Linked DNA regions of Saccharomyces cerevisiae S288C. The main gene of each other region encodes a partner of the protein of the gene in region 3 in a complex. Each region holds a gene or a part of one and is shown on either strand. Other genes may lie near its edges. A codon is read from its position in the direction of its gene.

Region 1 (4,229 bases), on a different chromosome or scaffold from region 3:
ATACGAGGATAATTAAGATGCAGTCATCATAGGTTTCTCTTCAAAAGGAGAAAGTTTAAATAGGCAACTGACACTGAAGAGGTATAGTCATGCCTACCGCGATTTCTTTGACACAGAATTGAAAAATTTTGCATTTTTTGGTAATTTCCTAATAATACGAAGTGCAATAATCTCACTTTGATAGGAGCACGTCATGATGGTAATTTCATACTACTGAACGTAAATGTTGAAGGTGAATTTGTAAAGCTTTGTTATTTGAAGCTGTACACCTAAAGGGCGGTAAATTGTTGGGTGTTAGTACCATGCCATTAATTAGAATTTGTTAGCATTTTTATTCATTTGTGCATTATGGGTTCAAATTCATATGACTGAACGTGTAGTTTCATATCCAGTCATCAAGAGATGCTGAACCGCCCTTCAAAAACTTGACGAAATAGAAGTTTTTTTTTTACATTTCTCATATGTTACATAGATTAAATAGTACTTGATTATTTGATACATTAAGCTAACAAAGCCTTGGATAACTCATCGGCAAGATAGTCGGCTTCAGCCCTGTAATTCAAGCTGTGTAGGTTAGCAACGGTATATCTAATTCTGCTTTGATCATTGTATGTATCCTCACGCGCTCTAATCCTAAAGTCATATTCGTTCATTTGGATACTTTGAGTAATTTTTGTGAATTCGTTGGGGTCTTCTTCCTTCAAAGACATTAATGTATTAGCATCAACACCCAATAATTGTTTAGCTTGGTCGTCAAATAAAGTGAGCCATAGTTGATTGGTTTCGTCAATAATTGATATTGTCAAGATGTATCTCCAATTTGGCCTTGCATTATTGGTGTCGCACTTCTCACATCTCCAAGTACCATCAGGCTGTTCCAGAACTTTCTTATTACAATTCTCATTAGAACAGGCAGGATATGCAAAATTATCAACTTTTAAGAAACTTATAGCAGCTTTAACACTAAAAAAGTCACCTTTCTCGCTTCTTCCTAGATTTTCAGCTTGAGCTCTAGCAATAGTAATACGCTGAGCAATGAATTTTGTTAAGCTAGCAGCCGATTGACCACCCATACCGGGTTCTTGCTTTAAAGTGATGAAGTTTGCGTTGCGGCCCTTGGAATCATACCAACCCTTTAAGGCATATGCCTCAGGAATTTCTGGATTCGGAATCAGGGTACTAGAAAATCCCATAGACAAAGATTTGCCACCAAAATCCGTCACACGAACACCTTTAATGGCAGCAACAGAACCTTCAGGAAGGTTGAAATCAAGGGCTTGCTGATTCCATAGGCCAACAGAGATAGAAAACCCAGAGTCGTCAACAATTGTGATGTCACGACGATCGAATTTCTTCCCAGCCCTTGAAGTTAGCTCAAAATGTGGGTTTATAGTTTGGATAATACCGAGGACGTCTACGTTGGAATTTACTTCCTGGTTCTGAATAGCATCTAGTTTGATGAAATTGAAATGGGTTTTCGGAACATTACTTTCATCGAAACATTCTTCTATAACAGTGTCTCTATCCAAATTCAGTTCATAAGGGTGTGTTAGATTAGTAAATTGGGGCTTAGCTGGTTGGAGTTTTGCCTTTGATACATAGTATACTTTGCCTTCTTGTAAAATTTCGTTAAATTTTGTAGCAAAATCATTAAACGCCGTGGCTCGGATTTCTCCAGAGGTATCCAAGAAGTTGACATTGAATAGTTTACCATCACCTCTTTGATTGTGCCACGTTTTAATTTCTCCCTTGTAGGAAACTCTTGCTTTGATAGTCCAAACGTTTTGGTATGGAGACAGTTGTTCGATGGCAAAAATTGGTCTGGTTTTTTGCGAATTAGGGTTTTCATTGGCGAATTTTCTCTCATTTGCATTCAAGTTTGAGTTTGAATGCAGCATATCAGGGACACCAGCATTGCTGGCGTTTGTTTGATTGGCAACATTACCACTGTCAGTTATATCTTCGTCTTTTAAGGTTTCATTTGGATGCTCTGAGAAATAGTTATCCAAAAAAGTACTAGTTTGGTTGACCATATCAGCACGCGACTGGACCAACTCAAAGTCATCTACTAAAAGAACGTATTTCTTTCTTTCCCTGACAATAGCAGGTTCTGCAATTATCACGCGAATGATATCACCCCTTTGTAGTTCCATTGACTGGAACTTGGATGCAGCTTGGTTTCTCAACAGAGCCTTCATATGGTAAATACCATCGGAAATCATGATCAAATTCTTTCTGTTGCTGTTAGCCCCATCAGATTTCCTGGTGTTATAAACTTGATAAACGCCACCGGTGGGATTATCGTACCTTTGCTTATTGGTGAAGATGCTATGAAAATCGCCCCTCGAAAGTTGAACACTGCTCATCTCTTGTAAGTATAATCTGGTCTTCTTGCTGGTTTCGCCTTTACCGTAATAAGAAGAGTGAATAGTTTTTGTTTTACGTGTAGAACTTAAAGTGATAACATTTGTTCAAGTAAACCTTTATGTTAGTTCACGCGTCTTTTGTCGCCTCGTCTAATTTTTACGCGTGACATTTTTCCAAGCAGAGATATTTTATTGAGCAGCGAAGAAGAGTTAGAGAATAAGAAAGTGATGCGATAAGAAATCCACCCAATTAGCATAGATCCTTTCGTATATGGCTGAAGAAGGTGGTACGCGCATAGCTATTAACATATATGCAAAAAGAACGGCAAAAGGCGAGGAGGTTTTTATGCCACCGCTAGTATTTGACATAGATCACATCAAACTTCTAAGGAAATGGGGTATTTGTGGTGTGTTATCTGGAACTTTGCCTACTGCAGCACAGCAAAATGTATTTTTGTCGGTACCTTTGAGGCTTATGTTAGAAGATGTGCTGTGGCTGCATTTGAACAATCTTGCCGATGTGAAATTAATAAGACAAGAGGGAGATGAGATTATGGAGGGAATAACATTAGAGCGGGGCGCCAAACTATCTAAAATTGTCAACGATCGTTTGAACAAGTCATTTGAATATCAGAGAAAGTTCAAAAAGGATGAACACATTGCAAAATTAAAGAAAATCGGTAGAATCAATGATAAAACCACAGCTGAAGAATTGCAACGGCTTGATAAATCTAGCAATAATGACCAGCTAATTGAATCTTCTTTGTTCATTGACATTGCTAATACCTCTATGATTTTAAGAGACATACGGAGTGATTCAGACAGCTTATCCCGCGATGATATCAGTGATTTGTTATTTAAGCAGTACAGACAGGCAGGAAAAATGCAGACCTATTTCTTATACAAGGCATTGAGAGATCAAGGGTACGTTTTGTCCCCAGGTGGACGTTTTGGTGGGAAGTTTATAGCATACCCTGGTGATCCTCTTCGTTTCCATTCACATCTGACGATACAAGATGCGATTGATTATCATAATGAGCCGATTGACCTAATATCCATGATAAGTGGTGCAAGACTAGGAACGACTGTGAAAAAACTTTGGGTCATAGGCGGTGTTGCGGAAGAGACAAAGGAAACTCATTTCTTCTCAATAGAATGGGCTGGATTTGGTTAAGCTGGGAATCAGTCATGTATAATTATTTTCTCAGAATTTATGTATTTATAAGGTTTTTCAGAAGCATACATATGTGTAATACAATTTTTAAATTTGCATTGATATTTTGATGCATTCAGCGGGAAAGTAGTTGTTTATCACTAGACATATAATTATGTTTATTTATATTTAGTGGGAGCAAAACAGTTTATTGAATGTTTACCAGAACCGAAAAAAAAGCTCTTCTAAACTGTTGACATCCAGTTCATTTACTTCCACGTGTAGATGTGAAGGAACAAATATTTTAGCATCGTTCATACAAGTAATTATGCTATATTATCGATCCTCGGATTTCAGCTTCCGTTATATCGGATGATTGTTACTCGACCTTTATGTCGTCTTTTTACATCATATATGATAATATGCTAGCAGTTTTAATACAAATTGATCGAAGATAGTTGGTTCTGAGAAATGGGTGAATGTTGAGATAATTGTTGGGATTCCATTGTTGATAAAGGCTATAATATTAGGTATACAGAATATACTAGAAGTTCTCCTCGAGGATATAGGAATCCTCAAAATGGAATCTATATTTCTACATACTAATATTACGATTATTCCTCATTCCGTTTTATATGTTTATATTCATTGATCCTATTACATTATCAATCCTTGCGTTTCAGCTTCCACTAATTTAGATGACTATTTCT
Region 2 (7,501 bases), on a different chromosome or scaffold from region 3:
TAAAGATTTGCCTGATCTACTTGTAATGCTTTTGACATCTTGCAAACAGACACGAGTTAATGCTTTCGTTAAATCCAATGCACTAGAAACTAGATCATGAGGATTTTGCGAATGTTGTCTATACTTTTCTAAAATATGCTTACCACGAAGAACTCTTTTTGAAGAATTGGAATTTACAAGGGCTGTGATATACCATAAAATATGAGAGGGGTATTCAACAGCCAAACTTAGCAGTATGTGCATTATTATCTGGGCCGATGATTGATGAGAATGTAATAACCTAGATAACAACTGAGTCAAAACAAAGTACCAAATATAAGTGGGACAATGCTGCAGCGCTTCTTCAACATGACTACATATATCTTCCGTAGCCTTACTCAGCATTTCCTTTCTGTTTCCAGGAGCTTCAGAAATTGATGCGGCCGCAATATCTAGCCAAAACGTGATAACTTTGGGCAAATTTTCTCTTACTTTAGCAGTGTTCTTTTCAAATGCCAATAAAAAGTAAGATATTGCCCTGTACTCAAAACGACCATTAGTAATATAACCCTCTGCTTTTTTGCGCTCAAGTAGTCTACTATAGTATAAGCCAATAGAGTAATATGGTTTATCCCATTTAGAATCAATCTGAAAAATATCCTGATATTGTTTAATAATTTGTTCGGACGCTGAATTGTTCGAAAGGTCTAACCATTCAGTAAACTTTAATAGCACGGCGGCACGATCGCGAGCATTAACCGAGGAATTTTCTTGATACTTTTCATGTATTTCTTGCACTATCTTTAAGGCTCTATCATTCTCACCTTGCTTCCATAGTATTTCAGCAAACTCCAACTCTGCCTGAGGCAACCGCCTTTCCAAACAATGCATTAATGATTCGGAGGCTATATCTAGCCTAGCGTTGTTTCTCGCCAATTGGGCTAAAGTGAAGAATGTTTTTCCTAAGTCAGCGTCTGCTTGTTCATTCATTTTCAATTGGTCAAATGACTTTCTCATTGACAATATGTAATGATTTGGCACGAAGTCAGCCCCAATACGTTCCATTCGATAATCGAGTATGGTAGTGTTACTTTTGTATTCAAACTTATCTTTCGCAGAAGATAAAAAACTGAGGTCATATAAACTGTGTAATTTCATCAATAAATTCTGTTTCTTTAGCAGCGTCGTCTCTTTAGATGACGTTATAAAATTTGTTCCGATAAGCCTAAAGGAATTGTGGATGTATTTTTGAGTCCTTAATGGATCCTCGTTTGAGATGGCAATTAAAGCTTTCGCAATATTGTACTGCAAAAGTACTTCTCTATCGTCAATATTTCTTAAACTCTCTATTTGTTCTACCCAATTTTTCAAAGTTTGAACATTGCCTTCTAGATTTGCAGCTTCAAGACCTATGCTGTACCATTCCTTCACATCTGGAGACAAAGAAATTTTTCCGTCTGAAGAATGGAACGAAGAGTTCGATATTATTTGAGAATACAATTGGTGGTCATACATAGACTTTAGCATCCTGGTTGTAGTTTTGGGGTCATCTGAAAATTTGCCGAGGACATTAAAGCAGTCTTGTGCGAGTTTCCAGTTTTCAGAATATTGCAATTCTTCAATTTTAGAAACCAAGTTTCCTGTAGCAAAGGTTCTCAGTACACCATCGAGTGAGTCAATGTCTCCTATTTCTTCGTATGTGATTTGTAAATTTTTCAGTAGTTGTCCATTTTGGTTCTTATCGTGAGGATTCTGTCGATAGCACTGTTCAAGGTATAGAGCAGACCTTTCAAAAGAATCCGTCTCTAAGGAGCGTTGAGCTAGCAAATCTGAAGGGGTTGTTCGCAAAAACTCATCTATTCTCAAAAGCATGTTAGTTGTTTTCGTATCTTTAATGATAAAAGTGCCGTGTAGTTTACTGTAATTTTGTTTAAACTCAGTTGCCCATTTTTTGCAATATTCGAAAACTCTGAAGATGGATTCATAGCACATTCTTAACGAATCCACTTGCAAGTTATTCATTCCTTCCAGATTGCACGTGAAAATGCTGTCAAATTCAATAATAATCCCGTTTAAAATATCAGCGTATGGAGTTCCTTTTTCTGCCTTGATAATAATGTCCAGAGAAATATAAGGTAGCAAAAAATTTGATAGTGAGCCATCATCTTCCCTAATCAAAGAGGAAAACACGTGTAATGGATGATTTTCTGTTGTACCTGTTTTCAATAAATCCAATGTAAACCTTTTCACCCAAATTTTGTATCCTTCCTTGAAGTTATTAGAAGGATATTTTAGCGGGACATATTCTTTCCATGATTGCGCAAGATACAAGGAAGATAAAAGCGGATAGATGGTTGTCTTGGAGACAGAGTTAAACTTTTCCCATAGTTTGGCTTCATTTGGATATAATTCTTTATGGTTCATATCCCATGACTCTGAACTTAGCCCGCAATATTTTAATGATTCCTGTATGACAAGGGCAACAAACAATTGCTTGCTGGGATTCTCACTTTGCCAAAACGCAGGAACGAGGATATCATTTATGACCCATATCAAGAACTTAATAGTTTGAACACTATCATTCAAATCATAAACTTCGTTTTCTGAATATGTTGTTCTTTTAAACTCATGCTTTGTAACGTCTAAAACACCAATCATACTGATACATTTGGCGCACTTCTCGCATAGGTCCTTGTCTAAATTTCTAAACTTATGAGAAGTGTCTAATAAAGCACCCAAAACTAATGTTATATCAGAAGTTTGCCCAACCTTCTTTGGTGTAAAATCAATCGATCTTTCTGTCTGCTTTCTCCGAAGATATACCTCTATATCGTCTAAATTTTGGTTTATGACATACTTGTTACTACTTTTCAAGTTATTAGCAAATATGGGTATAAGGTCCGTGGTACTTCTTATTTTATTCACCATTCTTGCAAATTGGCCATCACGAGCTAAAATACCTAATTCAGGCTTGCCTACTAAAGCCAAAGTAGTGTAAGGTTTTAATTTCAAAATCAGGTCCGATTTCTCTTTGATTAAGGTATCCAGTATACTGTACACTATATTTCGAAGTTTTCCGTTGAACTCAGACCACTTTTGAAGTATGAATGCAATTAAGCTATCTATAACAGTAGAGAGTTCTTCATCATTTAGATGGCGAACTAACAGATGCCAACATCTAAAGGCCTCGTATCGAACTTCCTTAAGCCCAAGTCCTGTTTGCAAACAAATACTAATCTGGGCTAATGCGGAAATTATTGATTTTTTGGGGGCATATATGATAAGAAAAGAAATGCCATTGATAACCCTTAACTTTTCGTAGTAAGTGGTGCGGCCTTCAACATCATGTATGTCACTCGAAAAAACTTGGAAAATACCTAAGATATTATCCTGTAGTTTCTTTTGGAACGCTTGTTCCTGATCATCCGTCCAGTTATTGATATTTTTGTACTTCGAACCATGCCTTTTGTCTTTTTCAAAATTGGTGATTAAAAATCGCAAAGAGCATAAAATCATATTAGCATTCTCGCTGTCACTTGCATCTTTAGTAACGCTGTTTTTGTAGAGCTTCGTTATTTCAGCTAAAGTTTTATAATCGGGAAGGTATGCAGTTATATATCCTTTGTCAAAAGTTGGAGCCCTATTTAAAAAAAGGGTTTCCAAGATATCCAAAGAAAATAATCCGTGTTTTACCAAAGCTACGGCAAATATTTGCCTACTGTTTTTTTTCAGTAAATTAACCTTCATTTGGTTAATTAAACTTGTATCGCCATCACACATAATCTTAGCAATTTCACTTAGCACATCGCTCTTATATTGAATAATTGCATAAGGGATGATATATCTCTGGAAAATATCGAGAATTGTTTTTGAAGAATATCCCAATAATTCTATTAAATTTTGAAAGCCAACTTTTCTTTCCACGAGGTTTTTTCCCAACTGTCTTAGTAATACAGGTAAAATAGGCGATAGTAATTGATATGGTGTTTTCTTTAAAATTTTGGCCATATTTTTAATTTGCAAAGTCATCATTATTCGTAAACTATAATCATCAGAATTGAAAATATCAATCAGTTTCAAAAGTAGTGTATCAAATACATCATTAGAAGTCGTCAATGTTAATTGTGTCCAAGCAATGACTAAATTTTCTTTCACCACTGGCAATTTTTGAGATTGTAGAAACTTTATCAGCGTGGCAGTGTGTTCATCTTCGGAATTATGAGAGTCTGATATATTGAATAAAGGTATAATTCTAGTACTTAATAAACGTAGGTATCTGTTAGAATTCATAAAGCACTTTTGTACCAGTTTAAAGCTCTTATTGATTTGACCGTTTCCATCTGTAAGTTTTGGAGGTTGAAAGTGTGAAAATATCCTATGTAGAGAAAATAAGATGCCACTTAACAAAGATTCGCTAAATTCATCTATATTTGGGTGAGATAGAAAGTTTGAATGAAGTATCCTGAAGATTTCTGATTTACCCGCAGCCTCTGGTCTATTTGGATTTATTCGCACGAAAGGGTTGCCAGTTTTCTCAATATCGCATAAATGACAAACATACCAATTATCCATATCCTTTGTGGAATTTGGCAGAGTGCCGGAAAACTTCTCTGATTCTAGACAGGCTAGACGTCCGAGAATTACAGTCCATGATGTTAGCCTTGTTATATTGTTTGTCTTGAAACAAGTTTGAATGGATACAGATGCTTCATTTAAAATTAGCTTGAAATCGTTTCCAGCTCTTTGAAAAAATCCAGGACTTAGCTGGTTCACGCGGTATTTGAGCAAAGTTCCTCTTTCTGTCTTGTTAAACTTCTTTAGTACTAGCAACCTTAGCTTTTCCAGCTGCTTATATCGATCATCAAAGGGAGAAGTGACATTTTTCAAGCTCGAGTCCGGCTCCGATTGGTATACCCAGATGTTGAACTTATTATCGTACTTTAAAGCTTCAACAGGTAGGGACCTTCTTTTCAAATCAAAATATACAATCGAGAGAGCTTTATTAGTCAACTGCGTGAACGGAAAATGTTCACTTTGTGAAAAATCTGCCCACTGGTCAATTGGGAAGTGGTCTACAAAGCATTTTGAGAAATCGTTAGAAATGCAAAGAGAATATAGTCGAAGAATTCCTTTGGCCATAGTGGGGTCATTATCCAAGAGCCCATACTTGTTATCCAAAAAATGATGCATAGTAGTCAATACAAACTTTAATTGTTCACAACAAACTAACGCTGGGGCATCCAGGGCTGTGGAAATTGTTCTATTGCAAACATAGTCCACAACTAGAGAAATATATTTGAGTTGGATTTCGGCATATTCTAGTGCTGCTAGTTCGCAGGAATCAAAGACGTAAAGAACAATCCTGATTAATCGTTGGAAGTTAAAGTCAAATTTCGTGAACCCCAAAGAAGAATCTAAGAATGCTATAGAGTTCCCAAAAGTACTATACTCCGAAGTGAACCAGTATAAAAGAATGTATAGACCCTTCAAGGTGTCATAAAATTTGAGAAGCTCAGTCTTGCCCAACAAGACTTCAGTCAAGGCCTGTTCGTAAAGATTCATGGTGTTCTCAAAATGTGCAGTAAGCTGAAACTTAGCAGGTTTTCCGTAAAATTCGACACATGCTTTGCACCAGCTGCCTAATTTTCGCCTCATAAACCATATTCTGTGGTAATTATCATAGTTCAGAACGGATATGTTGAGGAAATCATCTATCAGCCTTTGTATCTCAAAGTTCCCGTTGGAATCCTTCATAACAAGCAAGAAGGGGTTGTACTCCAACAATAAGGCAAGGGCGGAAACTGTTTTCGAAAATATAGTATCATTTTTCATGATATTGTTCCTTCTTTGATCTTTTAGGTTTCTTATGAGGGTGTTCAGGATCTTTAAACTCTTGGCGTACTCCTGAGAAGAAGATGGATCCGTGGGCACTTTTTTAATCTGCACCTTTGAATCCACCCCCGAGTTCAGGTCTTTTATTGCCAATATCAATTCGTCAAGATATTTGACGTGTGATTCCATGCAGTCTTGTGGGCCTTTACGCGGTGTATGTCGTTCTTGTTGTCCAGCCTCACTTTGTCTTCATTAATCATCTCTCTTCAAAATTGTCCGTCGGCGGGTATTTTTTTCTAGTTGACTAGTTTTGGAGCGTGCGTTCCATCTATTTGATTTATAAGGGAAAGAAGAAATTTATTTGAAGGATATTCACTATATAAATTTTATTTGTATTCTAATGCTTGTTGGTGAAAACTATGATCCATAGTTTTTTTTTTTTTTGTTTGCTTGTTTGTTTATTCTTTATTATGATAAGTACATAGTATGCTCCATATAGTTATGGAGCCTTGAAAAGGAATTCAATTTCAGTAATTAGAGTATATCAAAGCTAGGAGATTTGGGGTGGAACTTGCATATCGTTCGAAATCGATTGTGTTTGATGTTGCTGTTGTTGTTGTTGCTGCTGTTGCTGCTGTTGCTGTTGCTGTTGAGCAGCAGCGGTCGCTGCCCTCAGCTCGGCCTCGTAGTTCAGCGGCCTTTTGAATAGCAAAATGTGTGGTTCTGGCGCATGGCATTCATAATGTTCCCACCCCAAAGACTGTGTGATGCCGAGGCCTCTCCATTCGTCTTCTGTTAATATACGCAGGGTCCCCACTTCCGAATTGAAGTAATCAGATGGGATAACTTTTAGCATGGCCTTAGGTAACATCACATGCCTGTACTCATAGTTATCGTCTGAGTACCGCGGAGAATAGTGAATGGAATCTTGAAACTCCAACACGCGTGCTCTTTCTTGGTCAGTAAGCTTTCTGCCTTGGAAGGCGTGATAGTGATGGTACATAGTACTGTAAGACGAGAGTAAGTGCGTGTCAATCTAGTTGTATCCAACGCGGCCAGCAGTTCCAAGAACTTACGACAGAGTTGTAATGAATGCTACTGATGTCTGCTCTACTGCCATCCGCTGTCCTTTCATGCATAAAAGCTCCATTCTTTATTTATCTCATACCACGAGAAAAAAAAATCACCTGACATATTTTTATAACCCGCCTTTTAGACCCTAAAACAGATCTCAGGGCTCGAGTACTGTTTTATCTGAAAATTCTTCGAGCCCTCGTTTTGCACTGAGCTAAACCAAAAGAAAAATAAACAATCACAAATGGAACCCGAAACAGCACGCTGCGCAGTGTTTTTATATTTTTTTGAAACAAATGGCTTTATACAATGTGTATGTGTGATAGAAAAAATGGTATATTTCGAGTGACTTGTGATCCTATTCCCAAGCCCTATAGGAGCTATTTCAAATTGCGTGTGTGAAAGCGTGTGTGTGTGTGTGTGTGTGGAATTGTGCGGACGTTCCTCTTCTTTTATACATATAATTTTTATATATACAAAGGGTTCAGTTTGCATATGCATAGCAACGTATTTGTTGGTGTCAAACCAGGCTTTAATCATAAACAGCACAGCAAAAAGTCACGTTTCCTAGAAAATGTCTCTAGTCATTCACCAGAACTGCCTAGTAACTATGATT
Region 3 (7,956 bases):
ATAGTGTTATTTTTCAATGAAATTGATTTACGCTTCAGTTTCTTTGGAGTTGATGGCTGATTAATAACGAAAGATGTTTGGGGTGTTGTTCTATAACTAATGGGGGAGTTTTTCACAAGAGCAGGAGATGCAATAAGTAATGGTTTTGAGATCTGTTCTGTACGAGGTGAATGCTCAACTGGGACAAATTTCATCGAAGGTGTTTCTTTTTGCCAAGAAAAATCATCGCTCGTTGTTGTTAATAAACACAACTCATCCTCCGTTTCTGTCGAGTTCTCTTCGTCAAAGTTATTGTTGCCATCGCCAGGATAAGGTGCTACTTTTTTCAATGAAAGACAGACTGTGACGCCTGTAAAATTTATGAAACTTCCTTGGATATAGGGGAAAGTAACAGTTTCACCTTTAGCCAAAACAAAGCTGATGAAGTTTTGGTTCTTTTGAAGAGTTTTTCCATGCGATTGTTTAGTATTTTGCGAGGTCAAAGGCTCTTCTGCCACTAGTTTATAAAAGTTCCTTGTTGGGAAGGGTTTTACCAAATGCAACTGCATGGAGTAAGGCAAGTGAACGGACAACCCATTAGTTCCATTACATTCCAATTTTATTTCATTTCTGTCGGCGGCGTATGAAATAAAAGCGTGCTGCCTAGAGATATTCTTTCTGCATGGCAAAATAATGTTGCAGACTGATTTTTTCCTACCGATGGCTAAACGTGAGGGATCCGATGCATCTAATTCAATCTCGATAGGGCCTGCAAGCACCTTTTCTTGCTTTGAAGGAGATGACAAGGCAGATTTGGTCTCATTTAAACGTGAAGTGATATCTTTCACTGGTGAAGATTGTCTTCCGATGCTAGACGACGGGTCTGGAGTAGGATACTCTTCCAATTCGTAATTATACCGTTTTCTTCCTAAGGTCAATACAGAAGTATTAGCAAGCTTACCAGGTTCTTTTTGTGGGCTTTCCAAAGGTTTACCAGCAACTGGTGATGATGGTGGGAAGAGATGGGACATAACCAAAATTGTGACGATTTTGTCGTGAAACTTCTAGCGAAAAGACTAATGAAATCGGCAAATATTGTGTAAATAGTATACCAAAAAAAAAAACGCTTCTATATATTGTTCCCCGTTGCTAGTAACGATAGAAACGGCAAATAAGGAGAGAAATTAAACTTTCTTGGGAGAGGCAGAAGTGTTTACTTATTCTTCTGAAACAAAAACAAACGCGAAAAAAAAATTATCGCGTTTGGATTATCATTATTTAGACATTAACACCTGTACATATTTGTATTTTAAAAGCCGAACATTTTTGGGTTCTATATCAGTTTTTTTTTTCTTCAAGCACTCCGTACACCACTAATATTATCACTGAGAATCTTCCTGCCACTTGCGGGAAGGATGAGATTGGAAACATGGCTGGAATAGTAAGCATAGGTTACTATAGAAAGCGGTAACAAAAAGCACTACTATGTGTAGATAAAGAACAAAGAGGTAAACGAATATATAAGTAAAGATGGGTAGTATGTACAGGAATTATTAATTGATGAGTCAACGTTCAATCACATCCGGTCTGATTTAGAGGATTACATGAGAAAGAAGCACTGAAAAAATTTTCCACCAGGAGAGGCCAGGTAAACTAAGACCTACGTTATTCACTATGCCAAAAGATTTAAAAATATAGAATGATGAATGTTGCCAGAGCCATTGATGATAAGAAATTGCACATAACGGATGCATAAAGAGCGAATAAAAAGATTTGAGTGTCAATACAAAAAGGTGAGAAGAAATAGTGTAAGACAGCAACACACATCTAGACCGCCAATGAAGTTGTTCTGAATCCAGCAGTAGAGTTTATTTAGTTCAAAGTTTTACTAACGATAATTAACTTTTATGTTTTCATTTTAAACAGAGGGTACTCCTTCATTCGGTAAGCGTCACAACAAATCTCACACCTTGTGTAACAGATGTGGTCGTCGTTCTTTCCATGTTCAAAAGAAGACCTGTTCCTCTTGTGGTTACCCATCCGCTAAGACTAGATCTCACAACTGGGCTGCCAAGGCAAAGAGAAGACACACTACTGGTACCGGTAGAATGAGATATTTGAAGCATGTCTCCAGAAGATTTAAGAACGGTTTCCAAACCGGTTCTGCTAAGGCTACTTCTGCTTAAATTTGATATTATCTATAAGTTTTGTTCTTTCCTAAAACGAAAATAATATAAATTATATATAGTTAATATTAAGCATTACAAGGTTTCTATAAAGCGTTGACATTTTCCCCTTTTGATTGTTGCCTTACAGTCCCATTGAGATATATAATGAATCGGCCTCCTCTAGTGTGGTTAGATCGAATGATTTTGACTCAAGAATAGTTCTTGCCATTTCTTGAAATTTCTCATCGTACTTTACTTGCATTATTCTCCCCGTTCTTTTATTCAATTGCATCTTCAATTCTTCTTCGATATATTCTGGTAAATCCTCAAAGGCATCTTCGTAATAAGAGGCTTGATCCTTTATCGTCAGATCATGCAAACTATCTACAAGGTGTCGATGATCTCTCATTTCTCTTTCGTTTGCTGTCACAGTTTCGGTTTGGCATACGAGAAACCTCCATAGTGACATAATCAATTGGCTTTCTACCTGCTTGATTTGTTCTTCACGCAATTGTTTGAAATGGTCTTTCCATAGCCTATATATTATGGTTAAAGTATGTTCAATAAGATGGCATCTGAGGTCCAAGTTCGGGGAGTCTTGTCCCACGTACCTTTCTATCATTAACGCTTGCTCCCTGGATAAGAATTTAGAGGAGTGGATGAGCATTTCTCCATTTACTATGGTCGCATCGTCTCCATAGATCATTAATAAATTTTCAAAAATATTTAAAACTTCATCTTTTAACTTCAAAAGCCATTTTTCCATCTTGTAACCTATTATAGGGGCAGTGAATTTGTCGCTATCCATCCCAATATCCTCTTTAGAAATTACCCTTGGGACACTTTGCAATCGGTCAGTATAAATCAGCTTTGATATCAATCCTCCCAATTCATTATCACCTATATTTCGGATTAACCCAAAAAAGTCATGGTACTTCGACATATGAAGAGTTGTAGTATCCACATTTTCATTATATACGTCGCCACTCTTAATTTCCTTTTCCAAAAGAGCGTATAATCTTGTAATACAATCTCTCCACCAACTACCGCTTATCAAGGATTTCAGATCTGAGGAATTGTCCATATTTAATATTATACTAGTGATAATATTAACGACCTCGACTGCACTAAATATTACATTTACCATTGGCTTGTATGAAATGGTTAGTGCTAGTTTGTAGACAAATTCAAATGATTTTAGAATATTTTCATCAAAAAATTCCATATAAGTTTGCTTAGGATGCGACTGCAGTACCCTTAATATACCTTCTAGGAGATCAAAGGAATACGAAATTATCAAATAGTCTATCAGTTCATATTGGAAAATCTGAGGTTCTACATGCAAATTCATATTTGATTCATGTATCGGTACTTTCAATACATGATGATAGATTCTTATTAAATCGCAAATAAAAAGAAAACAATCCTTCAGTGCTAAATTATGAGTGGCACTAGGACGAAATTGTACAATCTGATACATCAATGCAACGAGAAATGGGACAGCTAATTTCGATTCATTTGGATGAACTGATATTTCCTTGATCAAAACAGCTATATCCTCTAGCAAAGTATCTATGAACCTGTCGAGGGTCAACGTCTTTTTACATCGCAAAAGTAGAGAAACTATGGACTTCCCTATGGGGGCTCCTTTAGCAATGACGAAATTCTTAAATTTAAACTCTGTGATGTAGTCAAGCTTCAATCTATTTAATATTTCTATTGTGCTCAGGTCAGCGCCTATTATTTGATGAAGTAATATTGACTCTAGAAATAAACTCGTTTCATCGGGAATAATCCTATTTGGGTTTAGGGGAACCATATTTTTTTTCAGTAAATTATCACTTATCTTACGTTTTTTTGATTGTGGTGATTGAGGTTTTGCTTCGATTGCAACTGAGGACGAATCTGGCGTTATAGTGTTTGTGTTTGTTGATAATGTTGTTGACGGTGGTTTTACATTCGTAATAACTTCCCTTTTCGATTTTCCTCTCGCTTCCATCTGTAAGAACTTCTTCTCATCTTCCAGTTTCTGTAATTCTTGTTTTAATTTAGCCAACTCTTGAAGATGCTTGACTTGCAATTCATTAACTTTGACGGCTTGAATATTCTTTTCCTTTTCCCTTTCAATGTTCAAAAAGTTTATTTTATCACGAAGCATGCTTGCTTCACCTTGAGCTTTATTCAGTTGGTTAACCAGTTGGTTATCATTTTTACTCTGTTTATTGTTTAATGTGGTCGTTGTAACCTCCAAAGTAGTGGGAATTTGTGTTTGTAATGCTGCTGATGATGGCGGTATTTGAGTAAACCTTGGAGGCCTGGTGCCTAATTCCAAAAGAATATCATCATCGTCATCTGAAGAAAATTCACCCACCGTTTCTCGTCTCATCTATAATAGAAATATGCAAAAGAGTTTGATGATTGTGTTGACGTTTCGTGCACTATCGCGTATTTGTTTGCTTTTTATTTTATTGCATGTGCTGTTTTCCCCAAAAAATCGATGGAACGCTCGGATTTGGCTAGAGGCGGGAAAAATCACCAATAATCGAAGAAAATAGAAGAACCAAGATACTAATAGCTCTTTGTAAGATAAATTTTGGAGTTACTACAGGTTACTATCCTTATTCAGAGACTTTTTACTGCTTTGCTCCTAATATTTAGTAGGAAAGAGCGAGCCTGTCTGACTCTTTTTTTTTTAAAAAAATTCAAGGTAAAACCTAACTAAACATAAAATTTCCACTCGAGTTATTCCGCTTAAAAGTGCTTAACATCGGTGCCACACAATACGAACCTTAGTAGAGAACCGACCGTTACCTCTTTATTAGCCCTAGTTTGTACCACTTAAGCTCTAATTCCAATCTAATGTGTGTGTATTTTTTTCTATTGTTAGCGCCGCACCAAAGAGGATCATGGTAAATACAATTACATAAAGAAAAGAAAAGCAACAAAACAGCTTCGTTTGCACCTTTAGCAAACGTTGGAATTTTCCTAATCTCAAAACAAGTGGTAAATCTAATCCCACACTAAAGAAAGCACGTCTTTACCAGTGACTTTATCAATAAATCACCTGCACACGCTGTCCGGGTAAATAGAATTGTTACTAAATAATGAAAAATACATTCGCAGTTGTAAAAATGCCAACAGAAATACCTGATATACAGTTAACAAGTAAGATCGGATCACGCTGCCAAGGCGCATAACAAACTATAAAGCCATTAAAGATTATGGTCGTGACATTTTTGCAGGACCTGGAAGTTTTGCAAGATGCATTATTAAATAATTTGCAAAAATTAAGTGCAATCTCCCGCAGAAAAGAAAGCGGAGAAAGCAAGCATGATAATAAGGACAGTTTTGCAGCCATTGCCAACGAACACAATGATGAAGAAGAAGAGATTGAATTTGAGGATTTGGTGAATATTATAGAGAGCAAAGTTTCAGATTTCGAATCGGTACTGAAATGTAGTATTGTGGAAATGACCTACAAATACCCCGAATTAAAATTACAGTGGGAAAAAAGCCCTAGATACGATCAATGCGATAAGTTGCATATTGTGAAGCTTGATAAACAAATGAACGAGGACATATATGCTCAGTTGGTCGAAGAACTGGATTTCGTGTTGCAATTCGTCGATTGGTTCTATTGCTACCGCCTGAAAGTCAAAGAGATTCTACGACAACACCACAAACGTGACTTAGCTTGGAACGACGAGAAAAGAGACCGCGCTATAAAATTTCACGCTGTGGATTACGACAAGCTTCACCAAGGAACGTCGTCATCGTCAAGCTTAACGTCCACATCGATGGAAAAAGCCAGCACTAGAGAGAAGCTTTTGAGCAAAACAAAACAACTGACGAATAACTTGGTGAGAGGAAATCAAATTTTGCAGTCCGGAATTTTACAAAGTGACCTGAATTTGGATGAATTGAGAGCCCAAACCAATTCCTTAACACAAATCGATGACAAGTACACTCAATTCGAAACCGTCTTCAAGAAAACTGCCGATTTGGTCAAAGTACTGGAAAATGCCTCCCATCAAGAGAAACGAGATGTCTATTTATCACTTGGGTTCCTCCTATGCTGCGTCTCGTGGGTTCTATGGCGTCGTATTTTCAAGTTACCTGTTAAACTCGGCCTCTGGCTGCTATTCAAGTTTTTCAAGGGTATACTCGTCACCCTAGGTCTAGTTAAAAGCTATGCAGGCTCCTCGTCCTCTCTTCAAGCACCCAGTCTTGTGCTAAATGCACCCATTCTAGCCACTACAACTACATCCTCAGCAACCTCTGTGGAACCATTCGCATCTGTATCAGCCGTCAGTAGTATCCAGCGGGCTGTCGATGAGGCCGTGGACAGGATCGTCTCACATGATGAGCTATGATAATTTTAACATCTATATAACATAATAAGCGCATATACTTAGTTCTCTCCATCCTCTCCATTTATTTTCTCTCACCATTGTTTCTGTTCTCTTCACATGCGTTAGGTATAGCTTATACCCCCCACTGGTTGCGCTAAATACGCCTTCCCCACCGCATGTGAAAAAAGCTCGACCAAGCTCAACGCGCTGTTGCAAAATGGAAAAAATATAAAAGGAATCAAGCCATAGTTGAGAAAAGACCTTTCACACTTGGGCTTTTCTTTGGCAGGTGTTTGCTCTATTCTTCTCTTTCAGTTTGGTGCGCTATTCAGATTTATTGGTCGTCCTACTGTATACATCTCTTTCATTTTCTTTGTTTCTGCAGTGGGTGTTAAAATGGGAATACACATACCATATCTCACGTCAAAGACATCGCAATCAAATGTTGGTGATGCCGTTGGCAACGCTGATAGTGTAGAGTTCAACAGTGAGCATGACTCACCTTCAAAGAGAGGTAAAATTACACTTGAGTCACATGAAATACAGAGGGCTCCCGCTAGCGATGATGAAGATAGGATTCAAATTAAACCCGTGAACGACGAGGATGACACGTCGGTCATGATCACTTTTAACCAATCTCTTTCGCCCTTCATCATCACTCTGACTTTTGTCGCATCCATATCCGGTTTCATGTTTGGTTACGACACTGGTTATATATCCAGTGCGCTGATCTCGATCGGCACAGATCTGGACCACAAGGTACTTACTTATGGGGAGAAGGAAATTGTCACTGCGGCTACCTCTCTGGGAGCTTTGATTACCAGTATTTTCGCCGGTACTGCAGCTGACATATTTGGTAGGAAACGTTGTTTAATGGGTTCGAATCTGATGTTTGTCATTGGCGCAATCTTACAGGTCTCCGCACACACATTCTGGCAAATGGCTGTTGGTAGACTGATCATGGGTTTCGGTGTCGGTATCGGCTCCTTGATCGCGCCACTTTTCATCAGTGAAATTGCTCCCAAAATGATCAGAGGGAGACTAACTGTCATCAATTCCTTATGGTTGACTGGTGGTCAATTAGTCGCTTACGGTTGCGGTGCTGGGTTAAACTACGTCAACAATGGTTGGAGAATTCTTGTTGGATTGTCACTAATTCCCACTGCTGTGCAATTCACATGCCTGTGCTTTTTACCTGACACTCCAAGATACTACGTTATGAAGGGCGACTTGGCAAGGGCTACTGAGGTGTTGAAGAGAAGTTACACTGACACTTCGGAGGAAATCATTGAACGTAAGGTGGAAGAACTTGTTACTTTGAATCAATCTATTCCTGGTAAGAATGTCCCTGAAAAAGTCTGGAATACCATCAAAGAATTGCACACAGTACCATCTAATCTAAGGGCTTTGATCATTGGTTGTGGTTTACAAGCAATTCAACAGTTTACCGGTTGGAA

The links.
Region 1: the proteins of LCD1 (region 3) and RFA1 are in contact, whole or in part, in a crystal structure (PDB 8B4J), measured with the Saccharomyces cerevisiae proteins. Residues at the interface, in NP_010787.3 of Saccharomyces cerevisiae: Ser10 (codon at 4,506), Ser11 (codon at 4,503), Asp12 (codon at 4,500), Asp13 (codon at 4,497), Asp14 (codon at 4,494), Asp15 (codon at 4,491), Asp16 (codon at 4,488), Ile17 (codon at 4,485), Leu18 (codon at 4,482), Glu20 (codon at 4,476), Leu21 (codon at 4,473), Gly22 (codon at 4,470), Thr23 (codon at 4,467), Arg24 (codon at 4,464); in NP_009404.1 of Saccharomyces cerevisiae: Arg35 (codon at 2,264), Lys36 (codon at 2,261), Asn43 (codon at 2,240), Arg44 (codon at 2,237), Leu47 (codon at 2,228), Lys58 (codon at 2,195), Leu60 (codon at 2,189), Arg62 (codon at 2,183), Glu86 (codon at 2,111), Ala88 (codon at 2,105), Val90 (codon at 2,099), Glu92 (codon at 2,093), Arg93 (codon at 2,090), Lys95 (codon at 2,084), Val97 (codon at 2,078), Leu99 (codon at 2,072).
Region 2: the proteins of LCD1 (region 3) and MEC1 are in contact, whole or in part, in a cryo-EM structure (PDB 6Z2W), measured with the Saccharomyces cerevisiae proteins. Residues at the interface, in NP_010787.3 of Saccharomyces cerevisiae: Lys187 (codon at 3,975), Asn189 (codon at 3,969), Met190 (codon at 3,966), Val191 (codon at 3,963), Pro192 (codon at 3,960), Leu193 (codon at 3,957), Asn194 (codon at 3,954), Arg197 (codon at 3,945), Ile199 (codon at 3,939), Leu212 (codon at 3,900), Gln214 (codon at 3,894), Ile216 (codon at 3,888), Tyr233 (codon at 3,837), Gln308 (codon at 3,612), Phe309 (codon at 3,609), Arg310 (codon at 3,606), Pro311 (codon at 3,603), Asn345 (codon at 3,501), Met346 (codon at 3,498), Asn347 (codon at 3,495), Leu348 (codon at 3,492), His349 (codon at 3,489), Val350 (codon at 3,486), Glu351 (codon at 3,483), Pro352 (codon at 3,480), Ile354 (codon at 3,474), Gln356 (codon at 3,468), Tyr357 (codon at 3,465), Glu373 (codon at 3,417), Arg377 (codon at 3,405); in NP_009694.3 of Saccharomyces cerevisiae: Ser24 (codon at 5,931), Val26 (codon at 5,925), Ile28 (codon at 5,919), Asp67 (codon at 5,802), Ser71 (codon at 5,790), Glu82 (codon at 5,757), Tyr83 (codon at 5,754), Asn116 (codon at 5,655), Tyr117 (codon at 5,652), His118 (codon at 5,649), Arg119 (codon at 5,646), Trp121 (codon at 5,640), Phe122 (codon at 5,637), Arg125 (codon at 5,628), Ala133 (codon at 5,604), Glu136 (codon at 5,595), Phe137 (codon at 5,592), Tyr138 (codon at 5,589), Gly139 (codon at 5,586), Lys140 (codon at 5,583), Lys143 (codon at 5,574), Phe144 (codon at 5,571), Leu165 (codon at 5,508), Gly167 (codon at 5,502), Lys168 (codon at 5,499), Thr169 (codon at 5,496), Glu170 (codon at 5,493), Leu171 (codon at 5,490), Tyr186 (codon at 5,445), Tyr192 (codon at 5,427).

The regions. Positions count from the first base shown.
Region 1 is NC_001133.9:156,254-160,482, forward strand, and holds RFA1 (replication factor A subunit protein RFA1), read right to left. Parts: upstream 2,367-4,229; coding exon 501-2,366; downstream 1-500. Other genes in the region: COMPASS subunit protein SWD1, read left to right, coding at 1-32; tRNA splicing endonuclease subunit SEN34, read left to right, coding at 2,713-3,540. UniProt on the Saccharomyces cerevisiae protein: As part of the replication protein A (RPA/RP-A), a single-stranded DNA-binding heterotrimeric complex, may play an essential role in DNA replication, recombination and repair.
Region 2 is NC_001134.8:504,167-511,667, reverse strand, and holds the start of MEC1 (protein kinase MEC1), read right to left. Parts: upstream 6,001-7,501; coding exon 1-6,000. Other genes in the region: cyclin-dependent protein kinase regulatory subunit CKS1, read right to left, coding at 6,362-6,814; HSL7 (protein arginine N-methyltransferase), read left to right, coding at 7,381-7,501. UniProt on the Saccharomyces cerevisiae protein: Serine/threonine protein kinase which activates checkpoint signaling upon genotoxic stresses such as ionizing radiation (IR), ultraviolet light (UV), or DNA replication stalling, thereby acting as a DNA damage sensor.
Region 3 is NC_001136.10:1,444,407-1,452,362, reverse strand, and holds LCD1 (Lcd1p), read right to left. Parts: upstream 4,534-7,956; coding exon 2,290-4,533; downstream 1-2,289. Other genes in the region: PLM2 (Plm2p), read right to left, coding at 1-1,010; 60S ribosomal protein eL37 RPL37B, read left to right, coding at 1,510-1,516, 1,906-2,165; SEC20 (Sec20p), read left to right, coding at 5,369-6,520; myo-inositol transporter ITR1, read left to right, coding at 6,896-7,956. UniProt on the Saccharomyces cerevisiae protein: Forms a complex with the serine/threonine kinase MEC1 which activates checkpoint signaling upon genotoxic stresses.